Linked DNA regions of Drosophila melanogaster. Changing the gene in region 3 together with the main gene of any one other region gives a genetic interaction. Each region holds a gene or a part of one and is shown on either strand. Other genes may lie near its edges.

What was found.
Region 1: of park (region 3) and Ctr1B, changing one suppresses a phenotype caused by changing the other (phenotypic suppression), as found in Drosophila melanogaster (one study listed by BioGRID).
Region 2: of park (region 3) and Drp1, changing one suppresses a phenotype caused by changing the other (phenotypic suppression), as found in Drosophila melanogaster (2 studies listed by BioGRID).
Region 4: of park (region 3) and Ucp4A, changing one suppresses a phenotype caused by changing the other (phenotypic suppression), as found in Drosophila melanogaster (one study listed by BioGRID).

What each region holds. Positions count from the first base shown.
Region 1 is NT_033777.3:8,315,850-8,320,283, reverse strand, and holds Ctr1B (copper transporter 1B), read right to left. Parts: upstream 2,673-4,434; 5' UTR 2,548-2,672; coding exon 2,488-2,547; exon of another isoform or gene 2,278-2,487; intron 1,847-2,277; coding exon 1,382-1,846; 3' UTR 1,079-1,381; downstream 1-1,078. Other genes in the region: Poxm (Pox meso), read left to right, coding at 1-474; Coq2 (coenzyme Q biosynthesis protein 2), read left to right, coding at 3,894-4,434.
Region 2 is NT_033779.5:2,580,544-2,587,364, forward strand, and holds Drp1 (dynamin related protein 1), read right to left. Parts: upstream 4,888-6,821; 5' UTR 4,729-4,887; coding exon 4,627-4,728; intron 3,859-4,626; coding exon 3,714-3,858; intron 3,656-3,713; coding exon 2,991-3,655; intron 2,776-2,990; coding exon 2,324-2,775; intron 2,269-2,323; coding exon 1,923-2,268; intron 1,860-1,922; coding exon 1,631-1,859; intron 1,567-1,630; coding exon 1,355-1,566; intron 1,296-1,354; coding exon 1,239-1,295; 3' UTR 738-1,238; downstream 1-737. Other genes in the region: Arpc5 (Actin-related protein 2/3 complex, subunit 5), read left to right, coding at 1-38, 101-343.
Region 3 is NT_037436.4:21,193,740-21,198,891, forward strand, and holds park (parkin), read right to left. Parts: upstream 3,115-5,152; 5' UTR 3,037-3,114; intron 3,031-3,036; exon of another isoform or gene 2,974-3,030; 5' UTR 2,964-2,973; coding exon 2,706-2,963; intron 2,647-2,705; coding exon 2,454-2,646; intron 2,398-2,453; exon of another isoform or gene 2,379-2,397; coding exon 2,033-2,378; intron 1,908-2,032; exon of another isoform or gene 1,892-1,907; coding exon 1,447-1,891; exon of another isoform or gene 1,392-1,446; coding exon 1,295-1,391; exon of another isoform or gene 1,218-1,294; coding exon 1,108-1,217; 3' UTR 1,015-1,107; downstream 1-1,014. Other genes in the region: Targ3 (terminal ADP-ribose protein glycohydrolase 3), read left to right, coding at 3,157-3,278, 3,332-3,506, 3,566-3,715; Targ1 (terminal ADP-ribose protein glycohydrolase 1), read right to left, coding at 3,721-3,751, 3,810-3,898, 4,021-4,386; Targ2 (terminal ADP-ribose protein glycohydrolase 2), read right to left, coding at 4,720-4,989, 5,142-5,152. UniProt on the Drosophila melanogaster protein: E3 ubiquitin-protein ligase which accepts ubiquitin from E2 ubiquitin-conjugating enzymes in the form of a thioester and then directly transfers the ubiquitin to targeted substrates, such as Paris, Marf, Opa1, Miro, pnut, Septin1, Tom20 and porin.
Region 4 is NC_004354.4:17,843,277-17,849,301, reverse strand, and holds Ucp4A (uncoupling protein 4A), read right to left. Parts: upstream 4,354-6,025; 5' UTR 3,942-4,353; exon of another isoform or gene 3,882-3,941; intron 3,813-3,881; 5' UTR 3,793-3,812; coding exon 3,544-3,792; intron 2,620-3,543; coding exon 2,510-2,619; intron 2,372-2,509; coding exon 1,883-2,371; intron 1,821-1,882; coding exon 1,646-1,820; 3' UTR 1,079-1,645; downstream 1-1,078. Other genes in the region: CG15814 (uncharacterized protein), read left to right, coding at 1-185, 248-483, 541-661; CG8142 (uncharacterized protein), read left to right, coding at 4,683-4,789, 4,866-5,733, 5,796-5,882.

The DNA.
Region 1 (4,434 bases), on a different chromosome or scaffold from region 3:
CATGCCCACGCCCACCTGTACAACTCCATCTACCAGCCGTACAGTGCTGCGGCGGCCTACAGCATGAAGACGCCCTGTGGAAGTCCATCCCCGCCGCAGGGAGCGGGCGGTCAGGGATCAGTGCCCCATCCCCACCAGCTGAGGAGTGTGGCCGCCGCAGCCGCTGCCGCCCACTGGCCCTCCTCCCACTCGGTCAGCGATATCCTGGCCCACCATCAGGCTGTTGCCCTGCGCGCCAGTTGCCAAGTGGGCGTCGGAGTGGGTGGAATGGGCGGCATGGGCAGTACGGTATCCCCGCTGCCGATGACTCCTTCGCCGGTGGCGGGAACGGCCGGTGGTCAGCCACTGCTCGACTGCGAGGGTGGGGCGGGACAGCAGTCGCCGTACAACTACTACATGTACTTCCAGAACGGCGGAATGCATCACCACCATCATCACGGCGGAATGATGGCCGCTGGAGCCACGGGCTTATGATTGGGTGGTCTATAATCAGCGGATTGGTTGCGGGTCTAGCTACTTTCGATCGCGGTTGTTCAGTCTAGGTTACTCTAGTCTAAGAGCTAGTTAGGGAATGGTCTCATCATGGCGCTCACTTGTCACTCAAATTTTAAACAAATGCACTAAAAGAACTTATAATTATCCCGGAAATTTCAAAATAATTTAAACTTTAACTAAGAAGCTTGCAAATACTGGTGTGTGGTTAGGCAAGTACAAATAGATAAAGTGTCGTAAAAAAATGTGTGCGAGATGATTCACATAATCATAAGGTTTGCTTAGTTATATTACCTGCCCAGATGTATCACAGCTAAAATATTTGTTAAAAAGATTTTTCAAGATCTTAACTAAACTAAAATATGTACTATTGTGTGATAGGTGAGTATCGTGATTAGTTAGGCCTTCAAATGTGAGTTGTGGGCTGTCAGGACTCAGACCTGGTAATGTTCGCATTTCATAACGAATTTCATGTAATCCTGGAGATTTAACTTTGCCTTCTTTTTTGTCTCATATCGGATTGTTTGCGTTTTGAGTTCGGGGTGGTCAAAAATAAAGTGTATTGCTTATAAAAACATATTGTAAAGTCAAAAGTATTGAGTAGTACTTTAATCGCTTTAGATGAATACGCGTTGTATAGGTTCTTGTTCTCATGACTACACTATTTGTACAATATGCTCATTAAGTAAACTAGTTGACTAATTTATGCTACGATTACATCAATAACAATTAAACCAAGTGTAACTATCGAATAAAATTGTATTTTTAAACAATTTGTATAATTACGTGGGGACGGGACTTTTTCTTTGATGTGTGAACCAAGAACTGATAAGGGCTTAGTTTATAACAATTGCAAGATATATAAACAATTAAGAGCGATATTCTTGATCTAAGGACAGCACTCGCTCTCGTCGGGATTCTTCTTGTTCCAGCCGAAGAAGAAGTAGCCCAGACCCAGTCCCAGGATCACTGCCAGGCACAGCCAGTAGTTGAAGGTCATGAAGATCAGCATCAGCAGGTACGAGATGACGATCTGCAGCAGGTTCAGCAGGGACTGGACGATGTGCGACGAGGCGAACAAGCGCTGCCAGTAGGTCTGCTCCCTCGGCTCCGCCAGGGGAGCTTCCGAGCAGCATCCTCCGGCTGCCGGAGCCTCGTTCTTCCTACGCTGCTCCGCCGCCAGCTGCTCGCTTGCTCGACGGGCTTCCCTGCGCGCCAGTTGCTGTCGCAGGAACTTGAGCGCCTCATACAGGAAGGACACCAGGAAGATGGCCAGGGCGGAGAGCACGAACTCCGTCACAGTGGACGCCACCCATCCGCGCCACAAAATTCGCTCGCAGTGTCCAGCGTGGAACTGAAAGGATGCGAGAGTGAAAGATTAACTACATAAGAATCCATAAGATCAGTAAGATGAGGCTTAAATACCAGTTAACTACCACTAATTACCACTTAATAACTTTCTAATTCGTATCTATATCTAGATTCCTAGATATCTAATATCTAGGTATATCTATATGGTCACTTTTGCTAAGATGATCCTTAATACAAAAGTTTAATATTACTTTTAGTTTTATAAAATATCAAGCTTAAGCTTTCCAATTAAACATCAACATAAACATAACATTCGAATTAAACATCTTTTTTATAATTCCCTTACAGCGGTATAATTTAACCCATGAATCTTTATTCATGAGACACCCTGTTCGAGCATATTCAATTTGTATTATTTGTATTTGCTGAGAGCGAATAAAGCGCTAGAGAGCGAATAATTCGTTGTGGTTTCTGGCACATAAACATACTTATACGAACTTATACTAGGGAGTGACTAGCCAGAGAATTCAAATTCCAAGTCGGACGAGATATTTGTTTGCTCTCCGTGCAAATCTCATTCAGCTAAACTGGATGAGTGACTTTTAAATTACAGCGTTTAGCGCAGTGGTAAGTGATTTTGTATCAAAATTGTTGGACACAGGAGTTGTGTAACTGCGTACTCACCACCATGATCATAGGGCAGGACTTGGCCGTGCTGGTGCTGTCATCCGAGCCGTGATCCATCTTGGGCTGCTGGTGTAGTATAGATATAGATAGAAGGCGTGGAAAATCCGACTGGCGATCGGGGAGGCACAGTGATAAGAGCTAGACCTGCTGAGGTGCTGAGAGCAGAGCGTTGACTGCTTGAAACCCGCTGCTCGCGAGTGGTTTTTTAAAGAAAATCGCACCTAATCCCCCGACGCGGCGATAGGAAAGTGCGCTTATCTATGGGCAATGGGAAAGAGCGTTATCACCCAGTAGCGGCGATACCAACGATAGTCGCCCCACACTAAGAAAGGCAGCCCAGATACAGTCATGTAAATAAACATAAATGCATGCAGATCTCAGTGTTAGAGGTCAGATCAAAAGATATATTCTGGGTATCAGTTGCAGATCTTTATCTCGAGAGATAAAATCCATAATTGATGCGTCGTGGGTTTCTCTGCGGTTTGCAGCTTAATTTATGGACTCATGGCAAAGGTTCGACAATCGATTCGTGTGCAGAATTTATTGCAATTCAGATTATCAATCATGGGCTAATACAACCCCCTGAAATTGTTGCTGTAATACATGATGTTGAAATAATTCCATTATTTCTTCGCTTCGATCACGGTTTTATGGCTCTAGTCGAGTACATTCATACGTAGGTATATGCCCATATTCCGGCATGGGAGCGATAGCAACCGTCGGCCGCCGGATCGCCGGAGGTCTGCCTTAGTCCACTTGGCTTTCCTAGAGTGTTATTTCTTACTGTGCTATTTCTAACTGGGATAGAATGCCGCCAAAATTGATGGCCGTGCGCAAACCTTCTGCGGCCGTGTGCATAAATTCTACGGACATTCCTGCGCCGTGTGCCAATTTCGAAAAATGGGCGACGTGCGCAAAACATTAACGATATTGCAGAGGGGTAAATGGTTGGGTCTACGCAAAAAAGAGAGCAAAAGCTTTTGCTAAACTGCTTAGGTGGAGATAACTGTAAAGAAGCTTTAGTTATTAGTATTGGTAAAACGAAGAACTACATTCCGCATATGTTCTTCTGTGTTTAGATATATAAATATGACTTTGGTGAAACACAACTCAAAAGTTAACAATTAACACAAGTTGTTTACAACTTTAATATATTTGTCTTTGAAACTTAAATTCAAATTTTTATCGCCAAATGCAGCAGTGCCACCGGATCATATTGTTTTTTCATCTATCCGGCAACTCTTTGTCTGCCTTTACCCGGATGGCAGCCCTTTGACATTCCCAACCAAAGTTCCATTAAACATCTTGCCATTTTTTGACTGTGAGTTTACGAACAAATACAACTTAACATCGTGTGACTTAATGCTTTAATCGTTGAAGGTGCTAGTGCAAGGCAAATCGCAATGTATGCGCTTCGACACCTGCGACTCCAGAGCGCTAGGCACTTCCGCAGCTCTTATGCAGCGGCGGCAACAACAAAACACATGCTGCCCCGGCAACCAGCGCGTGTTCTGATTGGAGATTGGAGCACTTGGGATAAGTCCCGGCTGCAGGATGTATGCTCCAGGAGTTCGAGTACCGCCACTGAGCCCGTGAAGCAGCAAACGCCGCTGCAGGAACTCGTGTCGGCCGCCAAACCCTATGCCCAACTAATGCGAATCGACCGGCCTATTGGCACCTACCTCCTTTTCTGGCCTTGCGCCTGGAGCATAGCGCTCAGCGCGGATGCGGGCTGCTGGCCGGACCTCACCATGCTGGGTCTGTTCGGCACCGGGGCACTGATAATGCGCGGCGCCGGGTGCACCATCAACGATCTCTGGGACAAGGACATCGATGCCAAAGTGGAGCGCACGAGGTTGCGGCCCTTGGCCTCGGGTCAGATCAGTCAGTTCGATGCCATAGTATTCCTCTCGGCGCAGCTCAGTCTGGGTCTTTTGGTGCTGG
Region 2 (6,821 bases), on a different chromosome or scaffold from region 3:
AGAATGCCCCGCTGCGCTGCAAGAACCAGAATGTGAAGGTGGGTAGCCACACCTATTCGTATCGAGAACCCTATAAAGCTAATCCTTCCTTGCATTGCAGGACCACGCCCTGAACATCACGCTGCGGGTGCTGCTGTCCATCAAGTCGACGCAAATGGACCAGGCCATCGACACCTTGGACCAGAACGACCTAATAGACGTGCTGATGAAGTACATATATCGGGGATTCGAGATCCCCTCGGAGGGCTCCAGTGGCCACCTGCTGCAGTGGCATGAGAAGGCCTTCGCCAAGGGAGGAGTGGGCTGCATTGTCCGCGTGCTGTCCGACACAAATCGCGCCTAGAGGAGATCAGCACAGCCAAAGGCGGTCATAGAGTCACTACCCCAACTGTTCCCTGCCCCATAAACCGATTCATACGCATCGCGGAGCATTTAATCAACACAGGATTGGAGCACTGGACACCACATCCTTATCTTCGGGATTTGCCACGCCCCAGCTGGAACCCACTTCTGTTTCTTCGCCGCAATACAAATGACGTTTTCCAAATTAGATTTTAACTGGTATCCAAGTATTAAAGTTTTTATTACGAAAGGTGAGTGGCAGTGATTTCAATCAGGGGAACGAACGTACTTCTAGTTCACTCAAGCCACACCTACATGTAACATAATTTGTAAGAAAAATTTTGTTTTTAGTAAGGCTAAGCAATTGCTACGCATCTCAAAACTCAGGAAGATTCAACTCCTATCAGATTTAAACACTTATTAATCTTCAGACTGAGCCTAGCAACTTTACGAACATAATGGCTTATCTAATCGAAATTCCAGGTGTATCATTCAACATGATGACGTTGCCTTCGTAAACTTTTAGCTGCCGTGACAGAAAACACATCTACTATGTTTGAATCAACCTTTTCTGCTTTATTTGACTATTCAATGTGTAATAAGTGCTTTGAGTAACCTAATCAAACCAATCACGGCGTCTACAACTTCTTATTAATTTAAAAAGCGGAGAGGCTCGATGATAGACAAATGCCAGGCGAATAGAAATGCGAGTTGGCTAAATGAAAGGCCCAGAATTTGGGGGTCGCATGCAATTTGATGATATTTCAGTGCTCGGTAGGGGGAACATTTAACAAAGGAGTTCGTTCTCTTTGAACGCGTCTTCAATAAATAGTTTTTATGTTGCTTATATGCGGGGATTATTAAGTCGAAACGGGTTGCTCCAATCGCTGACCAGCCTACCACATGTGGGTCTCGCGGATTTCGCTGATGATGTGATTCGCTCGCGTCAGTGCCTGAAATCAAAAGTAAGTTTAAAACGATGTCAAGCTAAGTATAAGCTAGCCAAGCGCACCTTCAGCATATCTGCCGCCTCTTTTCGGCGCACTGCAATGTGATCGGACTCGTTGAGCAGGGTTTCAGCCTTATCCGACTTATACAGATGTGTAACCAATTCGCTCTGCAAGTTGTCCTTAACGTAGTTAACCAAGAAATGCATGATGGCCTTTGGAACCGAGTCTTGTATGGATTTGCGCACAATGTAGAAATACGATTTGATCAGGTGTTCTAAAAACAAAAAGTAGTCAGATTGAGTTAGGTCTTTAAGTGGCCCGAGTTAAGTGCAACCCACCGATGACATCGCAATCCTTCTGCTCCTTGTCAGTGAGGCGACGTGGATTGTGGTTGGCCGGCACATCGGGCAGCAGATTGACCGGCTTCACTGGACTCACGATGTTATTGTGAACCGGAGTGTTGTTGGTCGAGTTCTCAATGCTGTCCGGACGCGTTGGTGCCGGCGGTAAAATGTTTGACAGCCATGTGCTGGCCATCGAAGGCGTCGAGTTCTCGGCGACGTGGTTCTAGAGAGCGAAACGAAAATGGGTTAAATAGGTTGCATACATAAATGAAGATTCCGCTGGCACCTGCTCATGCACTTGGCTATATTGCTGCTGTGAGGAATTCGGCTGCGGCGGCTGTTGCTGCTGCGGCTGCTGTGAACCAGCACTGTGCGACGAAATCTGAGGCGACATGTGGTTTCGCGGTGTATTGGCCCGCCGCTGCCCCAGATTTATCTGTGAGTAGGGATCGCTGTCCGTTTTCAGCAGACTGGGCACCAAAGCGGCATCCTTGTGGAAGTCGGGGTGCTTGGTGTTGATGTAGGCCAGCTCGATGGCCACAATGTTCTCCACCATCACGTTGGTGTGCGGCAGACGTCGACGCAGCAGCTGGGTGACCACGTCCACAATCTTCTCGTGCAGTTTGGGAAAGCTGTAGGGGAGATCGATGAAAACCTTTGGCGTTCAGCTATCATGAGTTCACATACCGCAGCATCTCCTGCTGCACTTCGTTGCCACAATGCTGAACAATGCGCTGCATCTCCTCGTGAATGAGTTCCACGCAGCGCAAGGAGGGTTCCTCCAGGCGGCGAATCTGGCGCTTCACTAGCAGTTCGAACGAGACCTCCGGAACGAACAAAGCCGGGCGTGGACCAGTGGCATTCCGGATGGCTGTCAGTATGTCCATCTTGCTCAGACCCGCCAGCGGGTGAATGGAGTCCAGGGTGCGGCCGAAGGTCTCGTGGAAAATGTAGCCCATCCGGGCACCGCCGCACAGTTCCGTGGTCTCGATATTCCTGGCCGTGCCCTCGATTGTGCAGCAGTAGGCGCTGGAGAACTTCGTGATGATCTGCAGCAGGGTCTGGCTCTTGTCGGAGACATCCTCGCCATAGGAGTTCAGCAGCGATTGGAATTGCGTGGCCATGATGTTGACGCGAGTCTGCAAGAATATGGGAAGTCATTCTCTTGAATTCAACATGCTATTCTAACCTTATCTGCCATTAATCTTCTCTTGCTTTACCATAGAAAAATATAAAGATCGATTATAATCGAGTGCCAAGTTTGTTTCATTTTTTTACATTTTCTTGAAGTTTTAGCCTGAGATTCTCGCATAGTTTGTGAAATCGATATGCAGTCTTTATAGACTAGACTCACCTTAAGATCTGGCAGGCAGTCCCGGATGTGGTGCATCAGGAGCCGGTTGAGGGTCTTGGCCAAGTAGGGCGTGCCGTTCCGGGTGGCCAGAGTGGGATACTTGCGCTGCAGGAAGGCGGCCTCGTCCTTCATCTGATCGTCGATGTGCTTTTGGTCCATGATGTCCTTCTGCGAGCGATTCATAACGCCGATGATGCCCAGCTTGACGGGAATGACCCGGCCGCACAGGATGTCGATGGCATCGGTGCCGGCATCCATGAGATCCAGTTTCGTGACCACGGCCAGAGTGCGCCGGCCATCGGGGTCCACGTCCTTGGCCAGCTTGAGTGCCTCACTGGTGGCCATGTCCGTGTTGGCGGCCGTCACAGCCAAAATGATGGAGTTCGGGTTCTCAATGTACTTGAGGACCAATTCTTTGATCTGCGCCTCGATATCCTCCGGCTGATCGCCCACCGGGACCTTGGTGATGCCGGGCAGATCCACCAGCGTTAGGTTGACCACGTGCGTTGAGAATATCTTCAGGTTGATGGGCTCCGGGCAGATGCCCTTGTTGCTGCCCGCCGCCCGCTCCGTTTCGTTTTCGATCTCCTTGCGGATCTCGTCAAAGTCCGTGAAGCACTTCTTGGTGTGCAGGAAGCGGCCCCACTCCTCGGCATTGGACGTACCTAAGTGTTATGTGGTTTAGCAATTGGGTTTTCCCGAACTTCTGACGTCTCAACTCACCATTTTCCGCCGAGCGATTCTCGCGATCATCGAGTGGGCTGTAGATCAGCTGGAGCACCAGTGGGCGACGGGTCACAATACCAGTTCCACGGGGCAGAAAGGATCGTCCCACAACGCTCTCGATCACCGAACTCTTGCCGGAGCTCTGGAAAAAAGGGGAAATGTATGTATTACTGGGAGTTAAAACGACGGCTGATAAAAGACGATGACCTGATAAGGTGGCTCCCAAGCGTTTGCAGCGAGGAAACACTTGGAAAACCGCAGATTAACTATTCTTATCTGGCAATGGGAGCCATTCTGTGATTGCAAATTTCTCAAACTTAAGCCTTTGCAACAGAAAACCAAATGAATGGTAAGAAATGGCACAGATTCAACATATTGGAGCTCCGCTGTACTCGGTATCAATGAGTTGCGCGAGCATTTAGTCATACTGACTTAATTCCAGAGCGTGAATCAAAGTGCAATTAAGCCAGCGATCGAAACATGCACACATATATGTACATACAGACACAACTATCGAAGTCACACATGTGTACGTTTGTTTTTTGCAGTGTGTTCGTGGGGGAATGTGTCACATCAGCCAGCAGCTGTTTTTTTTTTCGTTTTTGTATAATACTGTGGCATATTGATTTTCCATGGCGGCGGCGAGCAGTGCCAAAAATAATTATATAAACAATGGGGACGCCGCGAAGAGCGAAAGCTGGCTGAAATGTTGCTACAAACTGAAAACACAACTAAAATGCCGGCAAACGCACTCAGTTATATAATTTTGCGGTCACTGGAAAAGCGCAAGAGTTGGGGTTTCAGATAGCTGCGCCATATTCCGGTTCTCAGTTGCCACTCCTTTTACGGAGCTCGGGGATTTATGGTTTTCGGTGTGCGGATTTTTGGGCACCTCGCAGTTTGCATTTACCTGACTGCCTAGAACAACAATTTGGGGCAATTGGATGGAGTCGGAGCCCACGGTGTTGAAGACGTCCTGCAGCTTGTTTATGACCGGAATTAGGGCCTCCATTCTGAGTGTGTGTGTGTGCTGGGTTCCTTTGGTCGCGTTCCACTCGGCTGGCGATTAATTCGCGCACATAAAGGCCGTTCTTTTCGGCTTTTTCTGATTGACGCGAGCACCGAAATTATTTTTGCAAACCGCCAGTGTTGCACAGCAAATTTAGACTGTTTTTCTAGCGGTGTTGCCACACGGGCGGAACTTGCTGCTATCGGCAGTCCCTAGACGAGGTTGCCACCGTGCGCGAGAGTGCTGCCAATCTATTCCAAAAGGGCAGCTTTCTGTGCGCGCCAAAATTGAATTTTTGGGTGTTTCCAATTTTGCCCGTTAGTTGCGTGTATTGAATACTTTACACAAATAAAGAAAGGTATGATTTCATAACATTACTTAAAATCCCCCAATAGCTACAAAATATGAATGTCCTTTTCTTTTTGTTTTGTTTCATATTTTGCCTTTTTACTTATTTTATATGCACATGAGGAGTTTGTATTGATATGGACCAAACAAAAGGGGTCCTTACAAACCAATCTGAAAACTCACACACCACAATCTAAATCTGGCAGAATCTCAATATATTCATCGTATCTAACTAAATTGAAAAACTACACAGAGTAGGCGCATTTCTGAATACCCTTACAGACATAACAGTGAAAATGAATATATAGCATAAATATATTGTCTTTGATTTTGTCTAATTTCTGCAGAAATAAAGGACTATTTAAACGAAGAAATATTAAAGTTGGAGCAGCCGCCAAGTGGTCAGACCACGTGGCCCAAAATAGGGAAAAGGAATAATCTGGGGACCGGCCTCAAGTGCTCGAGATTTGCATGGGCGGTTGGGATGGGGACTTCCCCGGTTTTATATAAGAATTGCAGGGCAGTGAGCTGTGCCCCAAAACCAAAAAGGGGGCTACCCGACTATTTCTCGACCACACTCGATTGCCTGCCTGGCATGCATTGTGGGCGAAATGCCGGGCTCATCTGTCGTTTTTATCGGTTTATTTCAATGTTCGAGGATGCTTGTCGCCCGGTACACTAAGCATTCAAATTTCGATAGTGGCCTGGCCCAAATGGACCAGAATATTGGACGTACATATGTATGTACCACATCCATGTGCATAGAAGCCCCCACTCACGTATGCATCATGTGTCCTATTTGATAACAGTTCCCATTGTTGTTTGGCCAGCTCCTCCTGGCTGCTCCCAATTGAAAATGACAATGAAAATTGTTACAAGTTGGCTGATATCATTTTGCAATGCTCGCTTATCTCTTTAATGGCTTCCAAGCGATTTGAATATGCTTGGGATGATTTAAGATGACTTATTATTTACAATCCCATTGAAGTATCGAATTGTTTGAGTTTATTGTTCCGATCGCAGGATGGTAATATCGATTATAAGTAGTTTCAAAATTTAATCATTCCACTTCAAAATTAGTTACGCCATCCATGAAACTTTGATCATTCAAGTTTGGGATACTGACTAATCTCATTTCTTGCCCCATTATTATACATTCTGGCATTTTTCGAACTGCAAGTGGGCTTCTTTAGCATTTTCATAGATAAACTTTCGGCTTCCAATTAACAAATTTGGCTGGCAACTTTGCCAGCACACCTCTGCTGTATCTGTGTGTTTGAGTGTGTATAAATATTTCAAAATTTCCCCCATCAAATTGGCATTGTTGGACCGGGGAACTTTCGTATCTCTGGCTTGACAACTTGCCGAAATGTGCGGCGTGGAAAACTTCTTGAGTTTGAGTTGACAGTTATTGCGAAAGACGGGCGGGGGTGATGGTGATGGGGCACGCCCCCTTCTCGGGGCCGGAATATTAATTTGATAATTTCACGGCTGAATGCAAATTCGGTGTCAGGGTCCTTGGCTCTCTAATTGACTGACGAATACTTAAAATATGAATTTCAAATGAAGTTCAGCCATTGTCTGCTTTCTGGCTTTCTTTTGCCGCTTTTCGACTTGGCGCGATTAATTATGGAGTGATGATGATGATGATGGTGATGATGATGGTGTAGTTGAAGCTGGAGCAGCCTCTGCCCTCCGGTGGAGCATTAATCATGTGAAAGTAATTTTGCACATTTGCATGCGTTGCA
Region 3 (5,152 bases):
GAAAGGAATCTAGAACGTGGCGTTACTTCCAAATGGGCGAGAGATTGCCAATTCCCAGAGAGACAGGGAGCCAGAAAGAGAGAGAGAGGTGCGGAATAAATTTTCCGCCAGAGTCCTGCTTGGGGGTTTCCCACGTTCGCTGTGTGAATGAGGTATATGTTGTGTATAGGCTCGATTTATCGATGTCCGGGCCACGAATTTCCACCAGCGTGCGAAAAACCATAGCACACTTTCTGGCACACTCGTGGTGCACTCCGCCAAGGGATGTTTCCGCTTAAGAGCGTCCCGCGAACCTGTGGCATTTGGCCAGCCCAACTTTAGATGACCGATAAGCCGCAAGGCAGACTGATAACCAGGCAGGTGAACTTTCAGGCGTCTCGAGTTTCCAAGACGGCTTTTCTAAGCGGACTAATTGCAATTCTTGTAGAAGTTTATAAATTTAAATTAGTTATTCAGGGGAATGCGTGTTTCCTATATATAATTGCCTAAAATCTATTGATTTACAGATGTGTCCTAGGGCGGTTGCACATATGAATTATAAAACTGTATTAAAGTGAAATATTTAATTTTACGTATTAACGGCCAAAATTTAAGTTTCAGTTTCTTAATAATTTTCTCTTTTGTGTTTTCTCTCTTTAGCAAGAATAGTAGTTAGTACTTTTGAAAATCCAGGAACATTTTTGAAATGCCTTTACCATCCCCCAATCAATTATTAGTCCCCTTGCGGCTACGCGCCTGGGTTGAAATCACATGAACCTTGTGCCGCTGACCACCCACTGCGCATTCGCGGCACTCGCTCTCTGGCTGTTTGGCCAAATGCACGTGTTTGTTGCGGTTTTCGCATGCCTGGCCGAAGAGGAAAGCCCTCAAAATATTTGTGGGCGAGCTTAAAAAAAAACGTAAACAAAGTTTTTGTGCGCACGCAACAAAGGAACAGAGTGGGGTAGGATGTGATTCGCGTTGGTCCTTGTCAGGGGTGTTTCTGCTATTGATTGCGTAGACGACAAACAGGGTGTTGTTCGAGCAGTCTTTACTATGGTATACAATTTAAAAGTAGTCAACAAACAAAAAGGACCCGTCGGGCCGACGTACAACGATGACGAAGGATTAGCCGAACCAGTGGGCTCCCATGCAGTCGCGTGTCCACTCAGTCTGGCAGACCCAGCACCACTCGAATCCGCAGCCAGCGCGTGTGCAGACCATGTGCATGCAACCGCCTGGTAGGAAGAGAAGAAGACGGTATGGATGTGTTACAAACTGCGTCTTGGGTGTCTTCGATGCTCGCCCAACTCACCATCTCGCTCCGTGGGGGTTCTGCATTTTGGACAGGGCTTTGTGCTGACTTTGATGGTGACATTGCTGGCCTCATCCCATCGCGCCTCGGCAGCTCGCTAAAAAAGCACATGATTACACAAGCGGGAATGGGCCGTATAAGAGCCAACTCACATTTGGGTCCACGGTGTACTCGCAGGAGTTTGTGGCACTGGCGCCCGTCCCCTCGGGCAGACACTCCCCGATATGGTAGCCCTGCAGACAATTGCGGCAGAACACGTATCCACAGCCGTTCTGGCATGTCACCTTGCGACAATCGGGCTCCACCAAAAGGCCCATGCCGCATCCTGGCTGGGGGCAGAGTACTCCACCTGCCTGTAGGACATACTCCTCGGTGGCGAATCTCTGGTACCGATCGTACTCCTCGCGTGTCAACAGCTTGAAGTGATGAATCTCCTCGATGAACGAGTGCTCGCAGCCTGCGGGACAGGGCAAGGTGTAGCCGAAGTCCGGATGCGGCATAAACTGACGCTCGCCCAAACGGGAACGGCAATAATGGCGGAAGCAGTCGATACAGGTGACGTGCTGCGATGCGCAGGGGAAAACCAACACGGTATCACTGCGAACATAATAAGGTGATTATAGCAGAATAAAATTATATGACAAATAATTACTTTAAAGACTTTAAAAGAACTTTTTATGACATTTTCGATGATATGAAAATTATAAGAAATTAAGATGTTCCTTATTGCATAATCACCTCACATCCGTGCAGGCCAGGCAAGGAACATTCTTGATGTTATTCTTGATTAGATTCAATGGAGCCGCAAAATCCTTCTCCCCGCCGGAGACATGCTCAGCACACTTGAAGAAGAATTCAGCGAAGGGCGGATCGCCAGCCGCGTTGTCCACGCAGGCCACCTCCAGACTTTCACAATGACCGGGAATTCTACGCGACTTCAAGACATCATCCCAACACTCCGGATCACGATGGACAGTAAAGGCGCCGCCCTTGCATAAAGCGCAGCGGACCCGAAGTTTGCCATTACACAGCTTATCGCATTGGCTGCAATGTACAAAGAAATGCGCTTTGGCACGGACTCTTTCTGGAGAGGATACGACGGGATTACAAGGGGTTTCGTTAAAAAAAAAAAAAACAATAAAAACTAATTGTTGCCTACCTTCATCGGTTATATTCAGACGCTCCTCGCTTTCCAGCTGCAAGTCCAACAGAGTTTCATTTAGAGGCTTGGAGGCTTCATCGCTAAGCGAAGGTTCCTCCTCCTCCAAAGTGGCCGACTGGATTTTCTGGCGCTGCACGGGCGGTCGCAAACGAATGGCATGCAAAACGCTTTGCTGACCCAAGTCACATTGCTACTAGAAGACAGTAAAAGTTAACTTCATGTAGCGGATACATTAAAGAAACTTCTTACCTCTATTGTCGTGGCATCGCTTAGTTCCTTACCGGCAAATATGATCTTTAGATCATCCGGCTGAAGTCCCAATTGTGGTGCCACCAGTTCCTTTACGTTTTTAATATCCCACTGGGGCTCCAGATTAACGGTCAGCGTTTTGCCCGTGTTCGTTTTTACATAAATACTCAGCGTGTGCGTAAGGGTTTTCCCTCCAAATTGCAACAGCTCCAGCATTTTGCGTACAAAAGTGGCAATAAATTTAAAAATAAAACTCATTTGTTATCAGCTGATCGGGTTTAATTTTAGTGCAGTGTATATGCTTCAGTGTTGCCAATCGTTGTTTACTTACGCGTTGCCAAACACCAGCTGGCAGCCATTCGGAGGAAAACGTGGACACGCAGAAAGCGCACAATTGAAAACAATTTTTGTGAAGAAGTCGGAGGAGTATAAATGTAAAAGTTTTATGGAAATGTCAGGACTAACTTACAGAGAGATCAATGGCGACCTATTCAAATGCCAAAGGGATTATTCCATGTGCCACTGCGTGGCTGCCGATTTGCGAATGGGCAGAGGCATAGCTGTAAAGTTTCGGTAGGTAATGGCTTAGTGTTTTTAATAAAATGGTAAATTTGCCTATTTTCCAGAAACAAATTTGGACAGTTGTTGAATTTGCAGAGACAAAATGTTCAGCCAGGCGGCGTGGCTGTCCTTCAGGACCAGCAGCGATTTATTTACTATCTGATCACCAAGAAATCCAGCTGGGGAAAGCCCACCTACGAACTTCTCCAGAGTTCCTTGATCGCCATGCGAAAACACATGGTATGTTTATGTATCTTCTATAAGAAGTTATGATATACGAATCTTTCTACCATTTGCAGATCTCCCACCAAGTACCCAAGCTAGCCATGCCCCGCATTGGATGCGGTTTGGATGGCCTAAACTGGCCCAAAGTTAAGGAAATAATTTGCCAGGTTTTTCAAGCGGATTCTGTTGAGCTGGTCGTTTATAATTATGTTGCTATGAAGTAAATGGCTCATATTAAACTAAACGATCCATTATTTTCCCTGTGGAGGCACAAAATTGTAGACAACAATCTCCAGCGGCTCTTGGCCAAAAACGTACTCGAGGACTCCGCTGACTTTTTCCCATTCCAAGCCATCAATTCCGCAGCCAATTTTTGGGATGGCCAGCTTATTCACGTTGTTTTTGCGCTAATGTAGGAATAATAAAATGTAGCTCTTATTAATATAACTTGTCTAAGCTTTATATATATAATAAATAAAAGCAGGGATACATTCCATTCATAAAAGATATGTATCAGGCATGTATTTACCATATGCTCACGCATCTGCTCCAAAGATGCTTGTACAGATTCGTAGGTGGGCTTTCCCCAGCTCTGAGGCTTGGTTACTAGGTAGTAAATGTACCGCTGGTCATCCTTCAGCACCGCAATATCTCCACTGCCCGCTTGTTGGGCTTGCAGCTCGTCCAACCTTCCGAATACCTTCTTGAACTGCACGGCAATTCCAGCACCCATCGCAAGATCTGCGCCCACACAGTGCGCCAAGGAATAGGTCTTGGGGGCGGAAAACAGATCCCCATCCACTTCGCTTAGGGTGTACTGAGGTTTGGATGACATTCCGACTACAAAAGCTCGCCGAAATGCGCTACGTAGTTCTAGAAGTTTGGGAGAATACATTTAGTTTAAATAAGGGTTTTAGATCTGTCTGACTTAGTGTAACAGGCAGCTACTAGATTAATTTTTGGTCATACGATAACACTAGATAATGGTTCGTAAGGGTATATATATGTATTTATCAAAACTCCAATCTTTGGTTAATATCCTCTCGAGGACGTGTTTTATTTATTAATACATTAAATACAGTATAAATAACCAAATATGGAAACTTTGTGTGCTATAAAAACCTCTTAGGTGTATCGTTCTTATCAACTATATAAGTATTTGGTGCATATGATGCCACAAGTCCCAAGCAAAACCATTTCGAGTGTCAAACAAAGATGGCTATATACATTAAAAGGGAGTCTTTTCGCGATGAAGCGAATTTCTTGATCCACTAACGGACCTCGATGGCAAATGGATGGTCTTCATGTGCCGGCAGGTGGGACAAACCACGTTCAACGTGTCCTTAACCATTTGTGGCGGTGTGTAGAAGAATGCAATTATGTCCACGCTATCCTCGGCGAAAACCAGATCCAGCAGACTCCGCACGCGCAACCAATCCAAACGGTCGATGCCGCATCCAAGTCTGGGAATGGCCAACTTGGTCACTCCGTGCTCCCTCTGAAAGAGAGAATATAGCAAGCATATTTAGTATCCAGTATCTTGCTCTAATACAGTTTGGTGAACCTGATCCTAACTATAATGTTTCACCTTTCTCTTTATTTTAGTAATGCAGTTTTGGTCTGTAAGCCCTTAAAAATACAATTCCTTACCATATGTTCCC
Region 4 (6,025 bases), on a different chromosome or scaffold from region 3:
GCCTTGGCCTGGTGGGCTATCTGGTGATCATAGCCGCCTTTCTGGGCATGAATTACATGTTCTCACAGCCACCAAACACATGGATGGATGTGGGCCTGATGTTCTGCTTCTACGGCCTGTACATCGGCGTCCTGGGGCGTGATATATCCGAGATATGTTCGGATAAGATGGCGGCAGCTATTGGCGTGAGTTGACCATTGGCCAGATACCCAGTTGGAATCTTCTAACCCTCCCGTTTGTCCCACAGTACTACACACCTCAGGGTATTCCAACACGACATCTTGATCAGAATGTCTGCGCAGTGTGTGGCAATCAGTTGCTGGTCTCGGAGAAGGAAGAGGGCGTCATTGAGAACACCTACAAGTTGTCTTGTAACCACGTATTCCACGAGTTCTGTATACGTGGTTGGTGCATTGTGGGCAAGAAGCAGACGTGTCCCTACTGCAAGGAAAAGGTCGATCTCCAGAAGATGTTCCGCAATCCGTAAGCCATTCAGAGCCATCCGTTTGACTGGCCTACTTAATATTGTTTCTCCTCTAGCTGGGAGAAGCCGCACGTTTTGTACGGTCGCCTGCTGGATTGGATTCGTTGGCTGGTGGCCTGGCAGCCGCTCATCTTTTTCATAGTACAAGGCATCAACTGGATGCTGGGACTGGAGTAGATCCTGATACCGGCACTAGCTTTCCTCGGCGTCTAGTCAAGCACACACACTTCGGATTAAGTCCTGCACATGAAACCACACGGAAAACACGACGATGGAGAAACAACGACAGACCAACCTGGAGGGGCTGCGAAACACCCGCACCACTAGTACCGTCGCCGTTCATTCCCCCGCTCCCCTCCACGACTCCATTACATGAACCTGAACCATGATGACGATGACGGATGAAAGATCTGTAGACGAATGCCATTGCCATCCAATCTGTTTGCGGGTTTCCAGTTCTGTGTGTGGTTTGCTTTTGGGCACCCAAATTTTCCTTTTCCATTGGAGTCTTTAATCGAAACGTAAATGCAATTTTGGATATATGTATCTATATCTATATATTATACGTAGCTATGTATTTATGTACATATGTGTGCCTGTGTGTATGCCTCCTAGGTATTATTACCAATTTTATTTTCTTGATTTTACTTAATTGCACTCGAGCTGGTTAGGAATATACATATACCAAAAAAAATCTATTGATAAAATACTTAAAACTGTTTCACTTTCACTGAAGGAAGGGAAAAATCCTATTAATAATTTATTTGCCAGGATTATACAAGTTCCATTGACCACCAGCATTGCTGTCTCTTTCGATTTCGCTCGACTCTTGGGAAATTCTTAAGTAATCGCCTAAGTAATATCCGTTGAAATAACAAGTTTCTCGCTTTATTGTAAGTTTTGATTTTAATCTTAAGGCAACAACAATAACAAAAGGTAAGAGAAAGAAACCTGAAAGATCTGATTGGCATAACAGACTAAAATGGACAGAGTATATGCTGCTAAGCTTGGCCAGGAGCCGCACAACATCCTCCTGACATTTGGGCATTCAGGCACGGAAAATAGGATTATGACCGACTTAAAGGCGGGGTAACATGAACGAACTGCGTTATACATGTGCTTGTATGTACATCTACACCTAAACTTAAATTGAGCCACCGCTCAGTAGCCGGAGGCTCCGATCATCTTGCGGATCTGTTCGAAGGACAGCCAGAAGGTGAGCGACCACGGCGCCATTCGTATCCAGCAGGGCAGAAAGCCTTTGTACAGCGCCACAAAGCCCTCCTTCGAAACCGTCTGTCGCAGGCAGTCCACGGATCCGCGATAGAGCAGGCCCCTGCGAGAATAACATAGGTGATTAAGCGTTCCAATAGTTAAATGCGGCCATTGGTCACTTACCGGCCATTCTCGTCGGTGGGCTGGTTCATGATGCGCGTCTTCACCACATCAGCTGGCGTGCCCATGATCGCTGCCACGAATCCGGCACAAACGGAGGCCAGCACGTGCACTGTGTGACAGTCGGGCATCTGCAGGCGATTCATGATCAGGTGCTTGATGGTGTCGTATGTGGTTAGGTCGCCCAGATTGACCAACGCCGCTCGCTGCACATTCGGGATGCTGCCCTTCCACAGGCCCTTAATTCCGCCACGCTGCACGATCTGGCGGAAGGCATGGCCAGCGGAGTGCACCCTCGGTGGCTCGCCCATCAGACGTCGTCGGCCCTCCATTTGGATTTGCACCTTGACGAGGTCAGCGGGCGAGGCAAGCCACTGGGCAACGGCTCCGGCCGTGACGCCGCACAGCGCCGACTTCCAAACCGGCAGAGCCTGGGTGCCGTTCTGTGTGAACTCCTTGCGCATCAGGTCGTAGCTGCAGATCCTCACACCGCTGCGGATGGACATGGGAGGACAGGGAGAAGTTGGGTTAGAACTTGCTGAGCTAATGGCTGATGGCTAACAGCTGCTGGCGCAGATTGGCTGTGGCGGTGATCTAGATGCTAGAATGAGGAGTTTTGGGAATGCCCACCTATAGACGACGTGTCGGTAGAGCGCCGGCGTTACGCCCTGCCACAGCTTCAGGGCGCCCTCCTCACGCGCAATCCCGAAGGCGGTGGCCACCATGCCGCGGTATTGCATCTGGTAATGGTAATCGTTGGGAATCGGTAATTGTGGGTGGTTCATTGTAGTATCTGTATCTGTATCTGTATCTGTTGCAGGCCGAAAAACACAATATTCACATGGAACAGGCACATACACACACAAACGGATTGGAATGGATTGGTCAGTGGGATGGGGGTCCTGTATTGCTAGGCCATTCCTATCGCATATCTAATTCCATTTACTAAGCTTACCCTATAAGCCTTGTAACTTTTTGTTAATGTATCTTTTCTAACATAGCTTTTCGTCTTAGGAGGATTAGCTATTATTGATTTAGAAATCTTTATATTTTCATTTTCCCTCTTCCCTTTCTGCGTAACTGAGATTGGTAATTCGAATATCAAACATGTTCTTTGTGGTTAGCAAACTGGTTTCTTTTGATACGATTAAACAAGTACCTACTCATATTTGTTAGCTATCGTTATCATACACTCTCTTAGTAATAAATTGTATCAATACAGTCCATGAATACAAGCAAACAATTAAACCAATCCAAACATTCACACACACAGATGGGAAAGTGGGAAGGCGTATACGGGTACAATGGATGAGCTAGCCGGGGTGGGGGTGGGTGCATGGGTGTGATCTGGGCAGAAGCTGTGACTGATACCGAGCCACCTAGCATAGCGTCTTGTGAGCCAAGGCTTATCAGCAAGGCCGTGCCCACTCCGATTTGCCGTATCTCTGACTCTGAAAACACACTGTGAAATTTCGGCTCGCTAATCGCGCGATTGGAGTAGATAAATCGGAGGGGGCAGCACAATCTCTGGTTTAGTTTGTGAGCTAAGGAATGGATGGATTGGAAGAGGGGGATGTGGATTAGGTTCCGGGGTTAGGAGTAACCAAAAGCCTGAGACAATAGAACAACAAGCGGAAAGCAGTTAGGTGTGGGGTGCCACTCACATTGGACTTTCCCGCCGAATGGGCGGCTCCTTCGCCCTGGATCTGCAGACGCGTCTTGGTCAGGTCCAAGGGATAGGTCGCGAGCTCTGCAATGGAGGCGGCCACCACGGAAACGATGTAAGTGCAGGCGAATGAGTCCGCGTAGTCAAACTTCACGGGTCGCAACTGGTGGCGTCCGCTGGAGGGAGCGGGATTGCTGCTTGTGCTTGACGCCACGGCTGGCGACGATTCGTCCGTCTTGGCGGCCATTTCCGAGCCGGGTTTCCTATCTGCAATGCACAAGGAAGGGGAAACTCAGTGACTTCGTTACGCGTTGGGTAAACAAGCGCTAAACAAACTCGAGCCAGGCGAAACTTTCACACAATCGCGTGATGCGTGCGGGTGCTCTGCGCTCCGACCTTAAACTTCGTGTCCCGCTGCGGAGCACGTCGATTGCGGTGGATTCCGGATGAGGATTGGTGCCTGTGCCAACGTTCTGCTTCCGTGCATTTACATAACAACGTTTTGGCAACGCTTCTCTTGGTTTTTTCCTTTTCGGTTTTGTGGGGCGAAGGCGGGGCACAAAAACAATAACAATCGCAATGGCAGAGGCAAAGGCAATAGCAAATCAAAATCAGAATCCAAATCGGGCTCTTATAAAACACTCGTTGGCACGCGCTGTGCTGGGCGGTTAATCATGTTTGTCCACCCTGCCTGCGAAAGCCGCTCTATTTATATCCTTTATAAAAAACTAAAAAACCCGTAGTTATCAGCGCAATAAAAAAACGCAACAAAAACAAAAGCGATGCAGGCCAGGGTTGCCGGATAGATGGATGCACCTACGCGGCGAGAATCTAATGTTTATATTGTTTTCATTTTAAATTCAAATTATTTGCAAATAAAAAAATCTGTACAAAAGTGTAATTTTATAAGTACAAATATTAAAAAATGTTTTAATATAACATTTTTAGTATTACATTTGATACAAACTTTTGTAATACACAGAAGTTTTTACAGGTGTACAATTGCTTCGCTCTAGCTGGCAGCTCTGCTACCGGCAACCTTTCAACTCGCGACAACTTGTTATCGATAAACGCGCGCTTAACTTGCATTTGCGTCCTGCTTTATTTGTAATTTTGTCAAGAAACAAGGAAACCGGTATGCAAGCCTTTTTGAAAACGGGAAAATCAACGGCGGGATCCGGAGACAAGAGCCAGGGTACTCCGGCGGCGCGTCGCAAGCCACCGGCACCGTGGGTGGAGAAATAGTGAGTTGACGATGTCGCCAACTTGGAGCACATGCTAATTTAAGTGATTTCTATCCTTTTCGAATGACGAAAACAGCCGGCCACGCAATGTGGATGATGTGGTGGAGCAGTCCGAAGTGGTGGCCGTGCTGCGCAAGTGCGTTGAAGGCGGGGACCTGCCCAACATGCTGCTCTACGGACCGCCCGGCACGGGCAAGACCAGCACGATCCTGGCTGCCAGCCGACAGATCTTCGGCGACATGTTCAAGGACCGCATCCTCGAGCTGAACGCCTCCGACGAGCGTGGCATCAATGTGGTGCGCACCAAGATCAAAAACTTCTCGCAGCTGTCGGCCAGCAGTGTGCGTCCGGACGGTAAGCCGTGTCCGCCCTTCAAGATCATCATTCTGGACGAGGCCGATTCGATGACCCATGCCGCACAGTCTGCGCTGCGTCGCACCATGGAGAAGGAGAGCCGGAGCACCCGTTTTTGCCTGATCTGCAACTATGTGTCCCGAATTATCGTGCCAATCACGTCGCGTTGCTCTAAATTTCGCTTCAAGGCGCTGGGCGAAGACAAGGTGATCGATCGTTTGAAGTACATTTGCGAGATGGAGGGAGTAAAGATAGAGGACGATGCCTATAAATCCATTGTCAAAATTTCCGGCGGAGATCTGCGACGCGCTATCACCACCTTGCAGTCCTGCTACCGCCTTAAAGGGCCCGAGCACATCATCAACACTGCTGATCTGTTCGAGATGTCGGGCGTTATACCGGAGTACTATCTGGAGGATTACCTGGAGGTCTGTCGCTCTGGGAACTACGAGCGCCTGGAGCAGTTCGTGCGGGAGATTGGCTTCTCCGCCTACAGCGTTGGCCAAATGATGGAACAGTTCGTCGAGTTCATTGTCCATCATCCGGGGCTGAATGATCCGCAAAAGGCCACGATCTGCGATAAGCTGGGCGTACGTACTGACTGCATAGATAGATATGATTCCTCTTGTTTATTGCTGCCTTTATCCCACAGGAATGCTGCTTTCGACTGCAGGACGGCGGCTCCGAGTATCTGCAGATCATGGACCTTGGCTGCTGCATCATCTTAGCTTTAAAGTAATCTCATCCCACTCAGCACATTCATTACATGTACTTTATCCGCGACTGGAGTCTAAAATAAATGTTATATTTAATATGAAAATCTGGTAGTTGTATTTGTGTATAAAACGTAGATTTCATAATGATTAACGGGCGAATCTATAC